Linked DNA regions of Neurospora crassa OR74A. The protein of the gene in region 1 purifies or fractionates together with the protein of each later gene. This does not show direct contact. Links are inferred from orthologs where the notes say so. Each region holds a gene or a part of one and is shown in the gene's direction. Other genes may lie near its edges.

Region 1 (4,235 bases):
TCCAGCAGCTGCTAGTTTACGTCGCTTCATGGCTTCATCCTGGTCCGCTAATACCCTAGCAGTGAGCGCAGCCGTGGCGGCGTTGTTGATGCCACTCACCCGGCTAGATATACTCTCACCAGCACTCTTCTTGGCCTTCTTAGTCTCCTTCTCCTTGTCAGCGTCACCATTGGCCTCGTCAGCCGTGCGCTTGTTCTTTTTCTTCTCCTTGCTGGCGCTCTTGTCCTTTTTCAGACTGTGCGTCAGGCCTTTCGTCTTGAGATCCTCCATCCGCTTCGATAACCGTTGAATATCCGCCTTATCGGTCGGCAGAATGGGAATAACGTCCTCTGACTTGAATGGTTCGCTGCACTCTGGGCACACCTCCTCTGTGATCATCTGTATCGCCATCTCGGCAAAGACGTGGCCGCAAGGGACCAGATAGACGGATTTTGTAGATGGTCCCAGCTCTTTGAGCGTAACGGGACACGCAAAGATTTCCTTTTCTTTTTTGTTGCCACCCCCGGGCGGCGTGTACCGCTTGAACTTGAGCTTGACCACGTCGCGAAGGGATTTGATGCCGGTGGAGGCGAAGCTTAGCTCGGTCGCGAAGATGGCTGTTGGCGTTGCCGTCGACTCACCGTTGCCCACGCTACTGCTATTGGTGCTGGTATTAACAAGCGCGGGAGATGTTGTGTCTTGTTTGTTCTCGGAGGAGTCATCGTTACTACCGGGCATCAGCCCCTTGAGGATGGATTCGTAATTGTAGAGACGGCCGCGCCAGTCAGACACGACGGTTTCGAGATCAATGGGCTCGGAAGAGATGGGATCGTGGGTCCAGGCGTGGTTGAGCGATTCGAAGGCGGTGGCTTTAAGCTCGCTTATTGTCGGGTTGCGCGCTGCTTCTTTGACGAGCTCGCGTCGCTTGGGGATGGAGCCTCCGTCATTACCCATGGTGGTGATGGTGTGTAGGGGGCTGAGGGGATGGTTGTTGCTGTGGTCTTGGAGTTGGTTGAGGGTGTATGGTCCGTCAAGTATTATTACAGTAGAGGTATTTAGGTACAATTCGATGAAGAGAGTTGGCCGGAGACGGAGTGGCGTCGTTGTGTACACTGCAGGTTGACGGAATGGACAGAGCAAGTCGCGGCAGAGATAAGATAAGAAAGGAAGAAGGGGACGGGAAGAGCTGAGGTTGGTTGGTTCCTCCACTGTAAATTTAAAGTTCACGACAGGGGGCACCGGGCTTCCATCCGCAGCGGGATGAAGCGCGTCAAAGCGTGCCCCTGTGCCAATAGCAGTTGTCCACTGCAACCTGTAATTGGAGCTTGCAGATGCGTGCCTTCCACTGGCTTCCAGTTGTGTGAAATTCCCGTTGCAAGCCGTTGAGGTGTTCCAGGTGACTTTGAAGCCGAAGCCTCATGAGACGAGGCTGCAGGGGCGACAAGAGGATCCATGCCCGCCAGGTTTAGTAGCTCCACCGTATTTCCAATTCTCCATCTACATAGTAGTATACTGCCCTGAGCCCCCGCCGGCGACGGGGAACAACGTCGTCGACAAATTAACCAACGACCATCGGCTGCTTGGCACATTGTACGGCCCGCCGTGTTTCATCGCCGTTGTTGTTGATGATTTGGGGATACAAAGCTGAAATTCCGTTATATCCATCATTCGAGAAGCAGATTACTGTAGCGGACGCACACCCAACGCCCGCCCGCGCAAACATCGATCCCGCGGCTCGAGACCTTTCCGTCCCCCGGCCCCGGCTACCTATCCAGCCAGGGCATCCACACGGACCCTCCCCCTCCTCTCCCTCCTCCTCCCAAGACCCAATATCCATTGTGGTCCTTCATCCAGTGACGCAGCGTGGAACCCCTCCTTCTCGGGCTGGCTGTCGTCCACTCTCAAACTTCAACCCGACCGTTTCGTTTTCCCTCATCACCAACCACTTCAACGGCGACCCAACAGTCAAGGACCAGGGTCTCCCCAAGTTCCACCCTGTACCTTGACAGCCGGCGGTCTATCGGTCCATTCCCGACCTTCTCTCAACGACTAGTCTAAACTACTTTCCACTTCAGCTTGAAGGCTGTGATAGCTCCAAGCTTCTACGATACCCAGAACCACCCGCCTTACTTTTGATTTAGGCGCGCGTGGTCACAAGTTATAACGGATTTGCATTCTATCTTCGGCCTATTCACTTCGTCTTGCTGACGGTCATTACGACTCACGAGCGTGTTACGTTGCTGGACACTACCGCACGCCCATTTGCCCGTTCCATCCAAACCATTTCAATCGCATTTGACCCGAACATCACCTGCTCCCACATCGATCAACCTCAAACCAACCACTGCAACCGACCTTGCGATTGCGCTCAGCCCACGACCCGCGACACTCTTGACGACTGCGACAAGAAGGCGCAGCTGTTACACACGCGCCCTTCGCCTCGGCCGGTCAACCGGCTCTTGAAGCACGTTGGCCCCGCTTACTATGGGCCAGCGACGATAGGCCTAGTTGCAGACGAGGCTGTCCGACATCTGAAAAAGAGATCAAGACGTTATAGTCGGACAACACCAAGATGTCGCTCACAAAGGAGCAAGCAGCGGCAACGCTGGAAACATACATTCGCGATGTGAGGAATCGCACCTCTAGCGACGACGCGCGGAAGCGCGCTGCTCGGCAGATCAGAGATTTGGTAAACGTTGCGAAGCAAGGCAAGTCCACCAATTCCGAGTTTCTCCTCAGATTCCTGTCAGATATTGGAACACATGCTAACATACAAGGCTGTATAGAAATGGGCGCGGAGCAGTTTACGGCCTTTTTCAACACAGTCAACCAAAGGACCATGGCGCTTATACAAGGGACCGACACGTGTGACCGGATGGGCGGTGTTTACATCCTCGATGCTTTGGTCGACTTCGATGGTATCGACCTAGCCCTCAAGTACAGTCGCTTCGAGCAGCACATTGGCTACATCCTCCGCAGCAAAGACGTAACACCAATGCAGCCCGCCGCGGTCGTCTTGGGAAAGCTTTGCAAACCTGGCGGCTCTCTGATCTCAGAGCTTGTTGATGCCGAGGTCAAGCTGGCTCTGGAATGGCTCCAGTCAGAGCGAGTTGAAGAAAGGCGATATGCCGCCGTCCTTATTCTACGCGAGCTGGCACGCAACGCACCCACTCTCATGTACCCGTACGTTAACTTCGTCTTTGAGCAGTCCTGGATCGGCCTCCGAGATCAGCGACTGTTGATCCGAGCCACTTCTGCCGAGACAGTCAGTGCCTGCTTCAAGATTATTAGGGAACGTGATCAGGCCATGAAGCAGGAGTGGATGGACAAGATGTTCCATGAAGCCGTCAGGGGACTCAAGACAAACACTGTCGAGTCAGTCCATGCTTCTCTCTTGGTTCTCAAGGAGCTGCTAGAGCAGGGTGGCATGTACATGCAAACCCACTACGGCGAGGCATGCGATATCGTCTTCCGTCACAAGGACGCCAAGGACCCGGCTATTCGTAAGACGGTGGTCCTCCTCATCCCGGACTTGGCCAACTACGCACCGAACGACTTTGCATCAACATATCTGCACAAGTTTATGATTCATCTTTCTCATATGCTTAAGAAGGAAAAGGAAAGGAACGATGCCTTTCTCGCTATTGGTAACGTTGCCAACTCAGTCAAGAGCGCCATCGCTCCCTATCTCGATGACGTCCTCATATATGTTCGAGACGGCCTAAGTATACAGTCACGGAAGCGAGGTTCGGTCGACCCCGTCTTCGATTGTATTAGCCGTTTGGCCGTGGCCGTAGGTCAGACATTGAGCAAATATATGGAGGCGCTCCTGGATCCAATCTTCGCCTGCGAGCTCACCCCGAAACTAACCCAGGCTTTGGTTGACATGGCCTTCTACATTCCCCCAGTCAAGGCTACCATCCAGGAACGGTTGCTCGATATGCTCAGCAAGGTTTTGTGTGGAGAACCATTCCGACCGCTAGGAGCACCGCATCCCAACACACTCACTTCGATCCCGGCCATCCCAAAAGATCCCAAGGATCCATCAGTGCAGGAGCGAGGAAAGGCCGAGGTCAAATTGGCTTTGAACACCCTCGGCAGTTTTGATTTTTCAGGTACGTTACTCTTCAGTTCCCCAAGAAGCCGGACTGGCCAAAGAAATTCCAATCTCGGTCCGATGCTGCCAGTTACGAAGAAGGGCAGTCGTCGGGACATTGGCCGGCCTACACTGATACCCCATTGGAGCGAGAACTGAC
Region 2 (3,689 bases), on another chromosome or scaffold:
GCCTCACCGCAAGTCCGAAGGTTGAGTTCGGAACGGAAACCGAGCATGTGTGCTTCTCGAGATGCGGGCCAGCTTGGATTCATCCCAAGTTCGGACATGGGACGAAACCGACAGGTAGCACAGCCATGGCGGGCGACATGACGCAGGTCGCTGAGAGGAGTTGATCGGGCAAATAAAAGTCCAGTGCGGGAATGGTGCCCTGTGGAAGTTGGTTGTTCATGCTGATAACCGGAAGAATCCGAAAGCTTTGGCGGAATCGGGTACCCGTACCACACTCGGGCACCGAGAAAGGCTCCAACAGGTGGACGTCCGCTGCGAAGACGGGTTCTGAGACGCAAACAGCCGATCATGGAGTTTGAGATTGGTGGTGACTTGTGTAGAGTGTTCGTCAGGCCGGGGCTCGGTTGCGCAGGGAAAAGGCAAAAAAGGAACCTAGACAGGTCAGCCTCCACTCGTGCTCTCAGGTCTCATCGATGGCAATCAACCCACTCACTTACAAGAAGACTGTCCACGGACTAAGTAGGACTGTAAGGTGTCGGTGGTACAGAAGCAGGGCCCACTCGCGCTTAAAGTTGCAGGTCCCAGCAGATGTTGACCAACAGAAAGTGAATACTAACTGCCTCTAGTAGGTAGGTCACTGCACGGATATCGCCGGACGTACAGGGCACTCTATCACAGGCCAACCTGGGAGGCGGGGGACGGGAAACGGGAAGCAAGGGAAACAACACATCTGGTACTCGGATTTGCCGTAGACCTCACCAATGAGTGCGAGGTTGGGGGTGTCAAAGTAGCACATCCAAGACGGATATGGCATGGCTAATGACGGCATCAGATGGAATGAAGCGGGTGTCCTGGTACATGGTGTTTCGCGGCATCACAAGAGAGTCCGAGTGTGTGCGTGCTGGACGACGAGGGGAACAGAGGCCCTAAGAAGGAGGAGAATATGCTGACATTGAGATGGTGCTATCACTGGGTCATATAACAGGCGAGGAGGAAAATGGAAGTGGGTTATACGTGGATTCCAGATCTCGAGCAAAGGGAAGATGTTGATGTACATAAGTAGTAAATATTCATGTCTTGGTGAAGAAGTTAGTTGGTATTGAAGTTGTGCTTGATGGAAGGAAAGTTGAAGTTGGGAAACGGAATCGCTTGGGCTGTTGTTGCTGGTTGGTCGAGCATGTGTTAGTGAGTGCCGGTCCCGGCAGGCAGTTGCATCCACATCCAGTTCAAACCCACTTGACTCCGGCGGGCCCCACCGTTTGTCCCCTCCACTGTGGGGCAACCTTAAGTCCACTCCACTTCATAGGTCCCGTCCGTAGGTCTCTTCGTTGTGTTGCCTGCCCCGCCGACCTGTCTTGTCCATCCATGCCTGCAGCGCTGCTATCCGCTGCTAGGTATCAATCGGTGCGGTCCAGTGCCGTCCCGCGATCATCAGGGCCTCAGCTCCCGGCGTTGTTGACATCAGTTTCAATTCGGGCCATTTCGATATAACTTGTTCTACCGTGATCCACGTCTCTTCTTCCCATATCGACGCGTTCGTTGTCTGTCACCGACTGCCCAAGTACCGGTAGACCTGAAGAGTGTCTGTGGACTATGGAATCATAGCCTCTGTATCCCCGTCGCAGTCGCTACCTCTACCATGTCGGTTATCCTTTGCACAGGTATGGCTTGTCTTGTCCCGGTCTACCTTGCCGACGCAGTAATGCCCCATCCCCTTGATCCAGTTCCTCCCTTGTGCCGAATTGGAACAGCTGCTGACTCTTCGCTTTGCCCTTTACAGCTGGTTACGACCACACCATCAGGTTCTGGGAGGCGCTCTCCGGAATCTGCTCGCGCACCATCCAACACCCCGAGTCTCAAGTGAACCGTCTTTGCATATCCCCTGACAAGCGATACCTCGCCGCTGCCGGCCACCGCGATGTCAAACTCTTTGACATTCGTTCCACAAACCCGCAGGCCCTCATGACCTTCCAGGGCCACACCGGCAATGTGACCGGCGTGGCCTTCCACTGCGAGGGCAAGTGGATGGTAACAAGTTCGGAGGACGGAACGGTCAAGATTTGGGAAACCCGCACCGGAACCATCCAGCGAAGCTACAACCACGGCTCTCCGGCAAACGACGTTGTCATCCACCCTAATCAGGGAGAGATCATCAGCTGCGACCGCGCCGGAAGCATCCGACTGTGGGATCTGGCCGAGAACACTTGCTCGCACCAGCTAATCCCCGAGGAGGATGTTTCAGTGACAAGTGTCACGGTTGCCAGTGACGGTACACTTCTTTGTGCGGCCAACACTGCTGTAAGTTTTCTCTCCACCGAGTCATTCCTTGCTGTATCTTCCCGATATACTGACACCTCCTTTCTGTCTGCCAGGGCAATGTATTCGTTTGGCAACTCATCCAGGCCTATGACCGCACCCAGCTGATTCCCCTCACCCACTTTTCCGCACACAAGGAAAGCATCACGCGCATCCTACTCTCGCCCGATGTCAAGAAGCTCGCAACGTGTAGCGCCGACCATACGGCCAGGATCTGGGAAGTCAGGGAAATGGAACCTGCCACGGCCGATTCGGAACCGCAGGCGTTCCCCCTCGAGGCCACTCTCAAGGAGCACCAGCGTTGGGTATGGGACTGTGCCTTCAGCGCTGACAGTGCCTACTTGGTAACTGCCTGCAGTGATCATTATGCGCGGCTGTGGGAATTACACACGCAGCTTGTTATCAGACAGTACAACGGCCATCACCGCGGTATTGTATGCGTCGCTCTCAACGATTATTCCGAAGCTCGCTAGTGGGAACTTTTGGATGAAGATGAGGAGACGGCGACAATTTGCAACACGGCTGAAGTGTAGGGCGGCTGCGGAAAGATGTCAATTTTTACGTCTCTATGATGGGCTGTCGATGTAAGAGGAAACGAAGCTGCAAAGTGCAGTGTCATGGCAGGGGCATTTCATATGTGCTATTTTCCCCGGATATCCTTTTTGAGAGCGACTGGCGGGTTGTTTAGTAGAATCGGCTATGGCAATGGCGTTTTATGGTTATGCAAGTAATGTTTTTAGAGTGGAAAATCACACAACGACATGAATTCCCAAGTACGCCCGCCACGCCGTTTCATAACACTTGATACCTGGTAGCAAAAAGTATTGCTATATAACAGTAGACCACATTTCCGTCGGATATAAGAACAATTCAAGATGAAAGCTCGGCCGAAGTCCGTGACTGAGAGAATCGATTAGGAACATACGAGTCATGATTGGCTTGAATAGTCGAAAAGTGGATCAGCTGTGTGTTACGCCCCGGCTTGGCAGATTCAAAGTCAACACTGGTTCAAGGGTACTGCCGGCCTGGAGGGTTTTACTAGTGATCTGGAACTTTTGAGGACTTGCCTGGGCATCTCAGAATTCAGAATTGAAATCAAAGACAAAGCATTCACTTAAAATAGCTGGATGTTATTGGACAAAAAGACAGTTAGCGTACTTCCAGTGTATGTAGTGTACCGCAATCCCCGGATTTGCTGCTTGGGTGGCGGCGGCACTCACAAGTGGAATGGCTCCGTAATTCGGACCAAAGTGAAGATAGTGTAACCGGCAACTTTTCTCTCCTCTTTTCTTTCTCCAAACAACCAAGTTCCCCTTCTGTACAGTCTGTCACCATGAGGTCAATTGATCTCGCCAGTCGCTCAGGCGCTGCCC

The links. The genes of interacting proteins can lie anywhere in the genome.
Region 2: the proteins of NCU05608 (region 1) and NCU04281 purify together in Schizosaccharomyces pombe (affinity purification with western blotting; 3 studies listed by BioGRID, with this or other methods). This does not show direct contact. The link is inferred for Neurospora crassa OR74A from reciprocal best matches to the Schizosaccharomyces pombe genes tor2 and wat1.

The regions. Positions count from the first base shown.
Region 1 is NC_026506.1:1,348,270-1,352,504, reverse strand, and holds the start of NCU05608 (phosphatidylinositol 3-kinase tor2), read left to right. Parts: upstream 1-1,435; 5' UTR 1,436-2,551; coding exon 2,552-2,687; intron 2,688-2,765; coding exon 2,766-4,094; intron 4,095-4,235. Other genes in the region: NCU05607 (DUF602 domain-containing protein), read right to left, coding at 1-933.
Region 2 is NC_026505.1:5,484,169-5,487,857, reverse strand, and holds NCU04281 (WD-repeat protein pop3), read left to right. Parts: upstream 1-1,334; 5' UTR 1,335-1,639; coding exon 1,640-1,661; intron 1,662-1,780; coding exon 1,781-2,298; intron 2,299-2,372; coding exon 2,373-2,789; 3' UTR 2,790-3,189; downstream 3,190-3,689. Other genes in the region: NCU04280 (aconitate hydratase), read left to right, coding at 3,650-3,689. UniProt on the Schizosaccharomyces pombe protein: component of both TORC1 and TORC2, which regulate multiple cellular processes to control cell growth in response to environmental signals. Nutrient limitation and environmental stress signals cause inactivation of TORC1.